Linked DNA regions of Diceros bicornis minor. The protein of the gene in region 2 interacts with the protein of the main gene of each other region in a biochemical or structural test. Links are inferred from orthologs where the notes say so. Each region holds a gene or a part of one and is shown on either strand. Other genes may lie near its edges. The genes, in order: NFKB1, IKBKB and NFKBIB.

The links.
Region 1: of the proteins of IKBKB (region 2) and NFKB1, one has a biochemical effect on the other in vitro, tested with the Homo sapiens proteins (4 studies listed by BioGRID and IntAct). The link is inferred for Diceros bicornis minor from reciprocal best matches to the Homo sapiens genes IKBKB and NFKB1.
Region 3: of the proteins of IKBKB (region 2) and NFKBIB, one has a biochemical effect on the other in vitro, tested with the Homo sapiens proteins (2 studies listed by BioGRID). The link is inferred for Diceros bicornis minor from reciprocal best matches to the Homo sapiens genes IKBKB and NFKBIB.

What each region holds. Positions count from the first base shown.
Region 1 is NC_080747.1:84,940,249-84,943,997, reverse strand, and holds the start of NFKB1 (nuclear factor NF-kappa-B p105 subunit), read right to left. Parts: upstream 2,737-3,749; 5' UTR 2,234-2,736; intron 1-2,233.
Region 2 is NC_080768.1:39,338,900-39,342,648, forward strand, and holds the start of IKBKB (inhibitor of nuclear factor kappa-B kinase subunit beta), read left to right. Parts: upstream 1-789; 5' UTR 790-928; intron 929-1,584; 5' UTR 1,585-1,602; coding exon 1,603-1,707; intron 1,708-3,749.
Region 3 is NC_080773.1:13,007,998-13,011,746, reverse strand, and holds the start of NFKBIB (NF-kappa-B inhibitor beta), read right to left. Parts: upstream 2,825-3,749; 5' UTR 2,776-2,824; coding exon 2,597-2,775; intron 1-2,596. Other genes in the region: SIRT2 (NAD-dependent protein deacetylase sirtuin-2), read left to right, coding at 3,213-3,228. UniProt on the Homo sapiens protein: Inhibits NF-kappa-B by complexing with and trapping it in the cytoplasm.

The DNA.
Region 1 (3,749 bases), on a different chromosome or scaffold from region 2:
CAAGGTCCTGCTGATCGAATAATAGTCCAAGATCCCTGTAGCTGCCAATTCCTTATCCAGACCTTCTATCTACCACAAGGAGTAACCTCTGATAGTCAAGGTGGTAACTTACTTCATCAATTATCTGGAAGGCTGAAAGCAGTAGTAAAAACAACCTCCATAAATGTTAGTTTCTTAAACTAGCTTCAATTTGTTCCAAAGAACATGAGAAGAGAAATATGAGGAATATGATCACTAAAACTAAAATTCTGCCATTTCAGACTAATTGAGCTTTTACCAACTACAACTCAGTCATCACAGACGATCTTGTTTAAGAGGTAGAAGTAAGAAGGAAGTGCAAAGATCAAAGCAGTGCTTACAAAGGGGAACAACGATTTTTGTATGTATATTCCAGTATTTACTAACCGGGTCTGAAAAACAGGGGCATTTATTCAGCCCATGTGAACGCCAACTGCAGAACATAAGACAAAATTGAAATTTCAGAACAAAGATAATAGAGTTTCAAATCACCACCGATCCCTAACTGCATTATACTATTTCCTTTTAAAAGCCTTTCAAACAGGTTAGAAGGGGTTTACTGCTGACGGCAAGCAGCCCTTCAGTGCCAGCACGAAATCTCCACATAATGAGTCTTTCTTTGGCTCATGTTTGTCCAGGAGACTGTGGTCCAGGAAAACATTCTATCTAAACAAGCCCCAGAGGGCACTGAGGAGTTGCAGGTATAACCAGATGGATGAATAATTTCAGTAGATTTCATTTTTCCGTCTATTATATATGTTCTTCTCACCTTAGCAATTCAATTACGTGATAAACATAAAATGTTACAGGAAACAAATCTTTTATTTCCTGTCTTCCCAAGTTTGTAAGCTCAAAAAAATACTTTGCTTTAAATTATTTACATAATTTCTTTAGTGCATCAAACAGTAAAAGGATTCATCTCTAGAAAGCACAATATTAAAATCAGGAAAACAACATAGTTCAGCTAAGGGCTTTATTTTACTCAAGATTCCCTTTCAAAGTTTTAACAAACACTAATGCAATTTAAACTACTCAAGAATACTCAATTGAAGTATTCTGCTAGGAAAACAAGCACTGAACATCTTGATTTCAAGCTTTAGTGTCTACCAAAGAGCAACAGTTTGTAGAAGAACATTTGTATGCCAGAGCTATTACATGTTTTAGTAATACCAAGGCATTTTCTCAGATTATGGGCTTTATAACAAAAATTTTAAGCTAAATATAGTTCTTTAATAAGCTGAATGCTGAAAAACCCTACTCAACAAAGTCCATGAAAACGCCTTAAATCTTGACAATCAAATACCGTATCATTAAGTCCCATTTAAGTTTCAGGTTAGACCAATAAATCAGGGCAAACATCTCCATTCCGTACTTATTTTTAAAGACCACAGAAAGCTTGTATTTAGGACAGGCTTTGTTTATATCATTATGTTTGCTTTAGAGGTCAGGCACAATACATGGTGCCGTTGTTCAAGTGTTTCACATAATCAGAGTGTCTAAAAAGTGCTCTAAGTAGGTAATTTCTTTTCTTTCTCAAATGCCAGGCACTGTAGGATCAGCACCAGACCCTCCTTGTTTTCTTGAAGACTAATGTAGGGTCCTAGAGTAGGTGAGTTGAGTATATTATGTCGTGTGTGTGTGTGTGTGTGTGTGTGTGTGTGTGTGTGTGTGTAGGGGGGATTCTTTTTGGAGTAAGGGACGAGGGCATCAGGCTGTCCTCCTCAGTCTAGAGGGCCGAGGAGGGCTCTCCCAGCCTAAAGGACGGCCATGCACTTCTGCTTTCATTTCGTGAACCGCCCGGCGGTGAAATCTGGTTCAGCACTGCACGCAAACGCACCCCCTTCCCCTCGCTCCTCGGCGCCGCCGAAGCGCACCTCCACCTCAAGCCGCCCCTAGCAGGGGTGGGGTGGGGATAAAGCAAGTTTGCAAGAGTTCGCCCCGGTTCCCGGGCCCGCCCGGCGCGGGGACGGGAGAGAGAGGCCGGCCAGGCAGCCGCGGCCCTGCGGCCGACCGGCTCCTGCGCGGCCCGGATGTGCCTGTCTCCCTGTCGCCAGTCCCATGTGCCTCGCCACTCCTGTCAACCTCCTCCCGCGGGCTGGCCCCGCGGTGGCGCCGGAATGAGGAAGTCCGAAAGGGGCTGCAGGGGCTGCAGCGGGTGGGCGGCGGGCCTCGGGCACCCGGCCCGGCGAGGCCCCCCTCGCCCGAGGTGGCTTACCCTGGTGGCGGGTCCGCGCGGCCTCCCTGCGCCGGGGGCTCCCTCCGGGGGCGCGGGCCTGAGCGCTGCGGAGGGCAGAGGCAGCGGCCGCCGGGGCGGAGCGGGTCTGGTGCGGGCCGGGCGGGTCGGGCCGGGGCGCGGTCTCGCCGGCCAGGCCAGTCAGCGGCGCGCCATGTCCGCGGCGCGGGCGGAGGGAGCGCGGGCGCGGGAGGCCGCGGCGGGGAGGCCGGGCTGCGCGGGGCCGGGGCCGGGGCCGGGGCGGGCGGCGGGCGCGGCCGAGGGCGGCGGCGAGAGGCCCGAGCGCCGGGAAGGGCAGGGGAAGCTGTCAGCGCGCCGCCCGGCCGCGCGGGTGGCGAAACCTCCTCTTCCTGCCCCGGCCCGCCGGTGCACTTCTCTCTCGTTCTCGCTCGCTCACTCTCTCACTTCCTGGCTGGAAATTCCCACTGACGTCGAGAGAGCAGACAGACAGACGGACAAGCGCGCACGCCGCGGGGGCGGGAGGTGGGGTCGCCGCGGGGGTGGGGGAAGCCCGCACTGGTGGGGCGCGCGGCGAGGGGCGCGCGTGGGGCGGCGCGGCCGCCGGGTCCCGGCGGAGCCCGCTCCCCGCCGCGCTCCCGAAGGAGCCACGGGGCTAGAGCGGCGGGACGCCCCCTGGTAGGCCTGCGGGGCCGGCTGTCCCGGGCAGCAGGCGGCGGGGCGGCTGATAGGGTCGGGCGGTCCAGGGCCCCTAAGGACGGGCCCAGGCATCTGGAGGGGATGATGGGTCGGCACGGGGCCAAGCATGCTGTGTATAAAAATAAATCCCATCTGTATAGTCCATGTAAGTTGTCTCAGTTACGCTCAAATCTCTTCACAGATTAAACTGGAATTTCTCTATCGTAACTGAATTCTGTCCAGTGAGGTCTGAACATCTACTGGTTGTTGGTGAGATCTTAAATCTCCTGGTTATGACTGTTATTCAGAACTTTCATCTACAGGGCATTGTCAGGCCTTATGATAATACTGTGGATAGAGTTATAGTGATGGTGGTAGCAATGGTTTTGGTTCACAGCTCATAAAGAAATCCTGATCTGGCAGAAGAGAGATTTTCTCTTTTTAATGGAGAGACTGCTCCTGGAACCCACGGACAGATGTCTCCGGTGACCACCGTCCACTAGCATTGAGCTTCTCTACGTGCCAGGTGCTGTGCTAGGCGTGGGCTGGGGATCCCTTGGAGTAGATTACCTCCCCAATAAGAAATCTTGAGTTGGAATCGGTGCTTTAGAACTCATTGTCTCAGTGCTGAGTTCAGTGACAACTGTGTAAATTTAACTTGAAAACATCCGTAATCACGGGATCACTAGGCAGTGTTGCTGTGGCTTTAGATTGCTACTAGCAAGTTCTGCATGGTCCTTTCATGCCCACTGCCTGGCCTCTCCTCTCCCTCCCCAAGGTTATAAGAATCTTCTTGGTGGAGTGTTGGGCAGAGGAGTAGAGATGCATTTATTTGAGTCTGGGATGAGTCTCTGCAGGGACC
Region 2 (3,749 bases):
AGGTTTCCTTTAATACTTGTTGTCCTGCTAGCGTAAATATACTAACACACACACAACTCCTTAGTCTGCTAATATAACACCATAGAGAGAAACTCAATAGAAACTTTATTACAATGCCAGGTAGATGGGAGAGGAAAGATTCATCTCAGGCCTGAGAGCCTCTGCCACAATTTCCCTACATCACTGGGGCTGAAAACGTGCTTTAGTGTCACACTACTAGATTTTCCCCCCCTTTTCTTTATTTTTTCAAGGGGGGAGAAGGGGCTGTCACTTCTAAGGAGTACAGCTTTGATTTATCATTCTTGACACGGAGCCAAAAAGCCTCCAGACAAGGGGAGCGCAGCAGGAGGACAGGAGGCCAACGACACTTCTTGTAAATAGTCCCCAAATCAATCCCAGCGGGGGCGCGGGAAATTCCACCGAGTTAAAAGTCTAGGAAGCGGTGTCAAGTTCACCCCAGGAGGGCTGGGGTGAGGAAATCCCCGTCTCCCCTGTCCCAGAAAGCGCTCAGGTTGAAGTCATTTGTCTAAAGGGGACTCGGGCATATTAGGGCTCAGCTTAGGACTGCTCTTTTATCTCAGGGAGCACAGCCTGACCAACTTCGACAGGAGTTGTCTAGAAGCCGCACACCCTCCCGGGATCACCTGGGCGGGGGTCGCCGGGCGCGGCCGGCTGGCGCGGGCACGGGGCGTCGCCTGACCCCCCACCTTCCCCCCCTCCCCCCGCGGCCCCTTTAAGGGCCGGCCGGCCCACGTGCCTCTTGACGTCAGAGCAGGAAGTGTTTGAGGAAGTCGCGCTCCGCTGGCAGGTTTAAGATTCCCGCATTTTAATGTCTTCGGGGTGGTGCCCGAGACCCCAGTGGTGCCGCCCAGCCCCTGCCTCCCCCGCCCCGGGCAGCCGCTCCCCCGCCCCGCGGCCCCGCCGACAGGTGAGTCCCTCGGGCGGCGCGGTCCTGGTGCCACCTGCAGACCCCGCGTCGCCTCTGCCTCGGCGGGCTCGCACCTCCCTCCTCACTTGAGGCTCCTGAAGAAACTTGTGTGGAGTTTGAAAGTCGGGGGGGGGTGGGGTTCCGGGCGTGGAAGCGATCCTCTCGTCGGGTTGGAGTCGGGGGCCCGGGACAGCCCTGGCCAGGTGGTTCCAGGGGGCGGCTTCGAGGTGGGTGGCTTTGGGAGAGAGCCCTGATTCACTGGGACTGTGTGAAGACACGTGACCGCGGGGACGCTCACGGCTCTCCCTGCACCTCGGGCGGCGTGCCGCGGGGCTCGCGCCGCTGGCTGGAGTCCAGGCTGGGCTCCCCCGCCGAGGTCCTGGGCTGTGGGCCGTCATCTCCTTTGGGTGGCTTTCCTCCCTCCGTGCTTCCACAGCCGCTGAGGTGGGGGTGGAGGACGATGAGCAAGACAAAAGTTTGCCCCCAAAACCAAAAACCCAAACAGAGAAACTGGTTTATTTACAAAACGAAAATCAGCTCAGGTTCTTCTCTCACATTGAAGGGCAGTGGTCTCTCTCACCTTCCCCGTCCCTGTCTCCCAGAGTTGCATTTTGTCTCAACCTTAACCTTTTGTCCCCACCCCGAATTGCTTACAGAGTTAGCACCGCATCAGTATGAGCTGGTCACCCTCCCTGCCAACCCAGACATGTGGGGCCTGGGAAATGAAAGAGCGGCTTGGGACAGGGGGATTTGGAAACGTCATCCGATGGCACAATCAGGTAGGGGCTCTGTGCAGCTGGGAAGGGCCAGGGTCGGCAGGGTTTGGGGGTGGGGAACACAGGCCCCCTCTCGCTGCCTCTACCCCACGTGGTGCTGGATGGGTCAATGGGGCTCACCTTTGGCCATGGGCTTCTTGGGAAGGAGTGAGAGAGGGAGACTGGGAAGAGGGCTTCAGGGCTGCTAAGCTGGCTCTGGGTTAGTGGTCTCTGCGCTTTATTGACTATGCCACCTAAATAAATAGTAAAAAAATTTAAGCTTTCAGCCTCAATTATATATATTTTAAGTTATATATCTGTCCTAATATTAGACTATCATGTGCTAATCTATTGTGTACTAATCTATTACATGCTATAAAGTTTGGTATGCTACACTTCAGCGGCCCTGGATCGGTTCCCAGGCACGGACCTACACTGCTGGTCAGTGGCCATGCTGTGGCAGCGGCCCACATACAAAATAGAGGAAGATTTGCAACAGATGTTAGCTCAGGGTGCATCTTCCTCACGCAAAAAGAGGAGCATTGGCGACGGATGTTAGCTCAGGGCCAAACTTCCTCAGCAAAAACAAAACAAAACAAAACAAAAAACACAAAAATAAAAATTTAAAGGATGAGAATAATAAAATTTTTTAACTGTTTTAAAAATTAATTTTAAAAATATTTTAAATATTTACCAATTATAATGTCTTCCCAGTATTGTTTACAATACTTCACAGCACAAAATATTCTGATCTACGTGAAAGTGAGAATTATCGTTAAGGATTGTGGATGAAAATCTGTATTTCAAATAATTTTTATAATTTTGAATTATTTGGACCAATTTCTTTTTAGATCTGGTTAGTTCCTCGTTGTTTTTATTCCTTATGTGTCTGACATGAGTTTCTCACACTAGAAGTGTCACTTCTTCCATATTCCTGTTTGTGCAGGTGTTACACGTACTGAAACTCTCTGCAGGAAATCTCTTTAAGCCACTCATCCATTTTATGAGTGTTCTTTTATTAAAATTGCATAATACAATCCGTAGCTCTACCTCAGTGGGGCACATGTAATCCGCATCGCGTCCCCATAGGCCCCTGTCCACCCCCTGCCAGTGGAACGCCCATTTTCCTCAGGATACCTCGAGTACCAGAACTGGCACATGACCTTCTGACGAATGATATGAGGAGGGTGCCATACAGTTAGTATCAGAAAAGCTTAATTTCTTTTTATTTTCTTGGATCCCAGTCTTGGGTAACCCCTGGGGTGCATACACCCAATTTGGAGACCACTGCTCTGGGGAACCCTCACTCACCAAATACGTAATAGTAGCTTCCTGACCCAAACTTCAGACCCACTGAAGTCCTTGAAGGAAGGTGCCTGCTTTTTAACCAAGGGCGGCTGAGCACCTTTTGGACTGAAGGGATGGCAGATCACACGCTGCTTCCCAGGAGCCTGGCTGCAGCAATCGCGGAGGGTCATTGAGGCTACTGATCAGCCATGTTGAGGGTCATTCCAGTCAGCCATCCATCCACCGTCATCATTTAGTGGGAAGACATTCTAGGCCCTGCCTTGAGTGCTGCCAGCTCTGAGCAGATCGAATGACCCCTAGAGAAATAGGGAGCCAGAGCTGGAGGGCAGAGTACAGTTCTGCAGGCGGTAATTCTCACACCCAAATGGGAAGCTAGGCTTCCAGCAAACCCCGTGGCTGAGGGGGCCTAAGAAACAAAACTGGCTCAAACTTGTTCTAGTCAGAGTATAGTTGGGAGCCTAGCATTTTAACAGAGCAGCCAGATCATTCTACAGCCCTACATATACCTGGGCTGGACTGTTTCTGAATAGGCCAGGGTTTTTAGAGTCTTGACTATAGCAGATATCTTGCTGCAGCCGCGCTAGAGACGTCTCGGTTTCCTTTGAAAAGAGTTCTGTCCGAATGCGCCACGTATCTGTCATCTTTAAGTCAAAATGACCTCCATTTGCTCTCTGGGCTTGGAAAGCTGTTGTCAGATGAAATGTGTTTCTGGCTTTATAGATATGAGCCTGAGAGAGAGAGAGAGAGAGTGTGTGTGT
Region 3 (3,749 bases), on a different chromosome or scaffold from region 2:
AAGGCAGAAATTGTCAGGTTGACTTAAAAAGTAAAACTCAACTCTATGCTGCCTACAAGAAACATTCTTTAAATATAAATATTAAAAAATAGGTTAAGGGGGCCGGTCCCGTGGCGTAGCAGTTAAATGCATGCGCTCCGCTGCTGGCAGCCAGGGTTCGGATCCCGGGCGTGCACCGATGCACTGCGTGTCAGGCCATGCTGTGGCGGCGTCCCATATAAAGTGGAGGAAGATGGGCACAGATGTTAGCCCAGGGTCAGTCTTCCTCAGCAAAAAGAGGAGGATTGGCATGGATGTTAGCTCAGGGCTGATCGTCCTCACCAAAAAAAAAAAAAAAAAAAAGGTTAAAAATAAAAGGGTGGAAAACGATATACCAGGCTAACACGAGTCACTCAAAAGAAAGCAGGAGTATTTTCTGATCAGACAAAGTAGATTTCAGAGCAAGGAATATTAGCAGGGATAGAGAAGGTTATATCATAATGATAAAGAAATCAATTAATCAAGAGGACATAATAATCCTAAACATTTGTGCCTCTAATAACAGAGCATCAAATTACATGGAGCAAAAAGGAGAAATAGACAAATCCACAATTATTGTTTCAGATTTCAATACCTCTCTCTCAACAACTGATATAACAAAGAGACAAACTCAACAGCAAGGATATAGACTTGAACAATGCTATAACCAACACAACCTCTAACTGACATGTAAAGAACACTACACTACCAATAGCAGAATACACTTTCTTTTGAAGTGTACACACAACATTCTGAGCCATAAAACAAGTCTCAATAAATTTAAAAGGATTCAAGTCATACAAAGTATGTTCTCATCCACAATGGAACTAAATTAAAAATCAATAAAAGAAAGATATTTAGAAAGACTCCCAGATATCTGGAAACTAAATAACATGCTTCTAAATAATCCACCGGCCGAAGAAGAACTCAAAAAGAAATTAGAAATTATACTGAATTAAATGAATTGAAATGAAAATAAAGACACACAGGGGCCTGCCCAGTGGCGCAAGTGGTTAAGTGCGTGGGCTCCGCAGCGGCGGCCTGGGGTGTGCTGGTTCGGATCCCGGGCGCACACTGACGCACTGCTTGGCAAGCCATGCTGTGGCGGTGTCCCACATAAAAAGTGGAGGAAGATGGGCACGGATGTTGGCCCAGGGCCAGTCTTCCTCAGCAAAAAAAAAAGGAGGATTGGCAGATGTTAGCACAGGGCTGATATCCTCACAAAAAAAAAAAAAAAAAAGAAAAGAAAAACACACATATCAGAACTTGTGAGATAGTGCTAAAGCAGTACTCAGGGAAATTTACAGCACACGACACCTTGATTAGAAAAGAAGAAAGGTCTCAAATCAACAACCTCAGTTTCCACCTTAAGAAACTAGGAAGAGAAGAACAAATTAAACCCAAAGTAAGCAGAAGAAAGGAAATAATGCAAGTCAGAACAGAGATCAATGAAATAGAAAGAAAAAAAAAATAGAGAAAAGTAATGAAACCAAAGCTGGTTCTTTGAGAAGATCAATGTTTACTGAGTGCTCCTATGGGGAGACAGGAGAAAACACAACACACAAACCCAGGGACAACCCCCCCTCGGCTTTTACAACTGTTGTTCCTTCTCCCTGGACTGCTCTTCTCCCCAGACAATCTACTTGTCTCATTTTCCCGCTTTATTTTTGTCCAAAGAACTTACTGCTTTCTAACATACCACTTTTCTCTCTTTTTCTTCTTTCATTTCTTTCTGTCTTAGTTTCTTCCCGTCTTTCGCTTCTTTTCTCTTTCTTTCTTTGTGCCTTCCTCCATGTCTTGTCTGTCTGTCTTTCCTTCTGTCTCCCTTTCATTCTCTCTTTCTCTCTCTCTCCCTTTCTTTCTCTTTCTTTTCTTCTCTCTCTCTCTTTCTCTCTCTCTTTCTTTTTCCTCCCTTCCTTCTTGTCTGTCTGTCAGTCTGTCTGGCTGTCCACATACCTCCACTAGAATGTATGCTCCACAGGGCATATGTTTTTGTCTGTTTTCTTCTCTTGCCTTATTACCAGCACCTCAAACAGGGCCTAGAACATGGCAGCGTTTGATAAATATTTGTTTAACAGATGAATCCCTGCTGTCACAGAGCCTATATTTTCTCTTTGAATGTAAGATTTGAAAACTAGTGCTCAGAAGGTGGGATCTTAGAGTCAAAGGCCAAGTATTAATTGGGAAATCAAAGAAAAAGGCTCATAAATCAAGAGCTAAGGATCAACGATCATATTTGGAGATTAGAGGTCAGGAAGGGCCTGCCTTAGCTACAGTTCTAACAAAGGTCTCCGGACTGGGGTCAGGAAGGTTAAATTGACTTTTGAGATCAATGGATAGGGATGTGGAAATCTGAGAACCTGAGTTCAAGAAAGAACGGTCAGAAATTATTGGATTAGGATCAAAGCTGGAGAGGAAATTGGTCTTATTAAAGGTTAGGACTTGGGGGTTAGAGATCAGGAAGTCAAGCATCAGAAGTCAGATTTAGGATGAGAGGTTGGGAAGCCGGGATCAGAAACTAACAGGGAATCAGATGTCGGATCCTAGGGCCCGGTTAGGCAACCTAAGGTTCACTCACGTGTCCCCATCCTCAGTGACGTATCCGAAGACGAGGGGCGCCCACGACAGCCCTGGGCCCAGCTCCGCGCCCAGCCCCGGTCCTCCGGGGGCCGCCGCATCCGGACCCAGAGAGCCCAGGCCGCTGTCGCACCATTCGTCGGCGTCCGAGGCTTTCCCCAAGCACGCGACCCCGGCCATGGCCCCCGAAGCCTCAGGGGCCCCCAGCGGCCGCCCGCCCGTCGCTGGGCTTTGCCTGGATGTCTGGCGCTTCCGCCCTGCGGGGAATTCCCCAACCCGCCCCCTGACTCACCCAATCAGCGTGGGCTAAATAGCACATGCCCCACCCCCGTACCACACTGTGACCAATCAGAGTATTCAGATGGACTGCGGCTCTCTACCCATTCCCACATTTTCCGGGCGCCCTTTACCAACATGGCTGCTGGCGCGGGGCACTCTGGAACTCGTAGTCTGGCCCTCGGGAGTCTTCATTACCTGAGAGGCTGCGAAAGCTTGTTTGCGGCCGCGATGGCTGCTGGGAGTTGTAGTTCTCTGCCCTATGTCTGTCCCTCCTGTTTCCGGTGCCGTCACGGGACAGAGCAGTCGGTGACAGCTCCTAGGGCTCCCGCCCCGCGTCCATGGCCGAGCCGGACCGTGAGTCGGGGGCCCCGGTGGGAGGGTCGGGCCGCGCCGGGGCCTGGCTGAGGGCTGCAGGCCCCGGGGCCCGAGGGTGGGCTTGATGGGGCAGCAGATAGGGGCTGCGTAGGGGGGCGAGTGGGACTCGGCGGGCCGTTGCTAAGTGATCCGTATTGCTAGGTCGGTGGGTTTCTGGGTCGCGAGGTTTTAAGGGTCCGTTTGCCACGTCCCCCAAGTTACCCATGATTGCGTGTTTCTCGCACCTTGGTCGCTAAGGACCTTCGTTTCTAAGGACTTAGGTTGCCGCGGTCCCGGTTGCTAAGGGTATCTGGTTGATGGAGGGAGCTGTAGGAAGCTAGGGGACCCCTATATCCCCTCCTGTCTCTTCCCTCTAGTTCCTGTGCCTCTCCTAAACCTACCATTCCCACCACGCCTCCTCTCCAAACCTGCCTCCAGTCAGAGTATCTCTCATCTTCTCTTACTTTCTAAACTTCCCTCTGCCTGTAAACCTGACCCTCTCCGCGCACACACTCGCATAC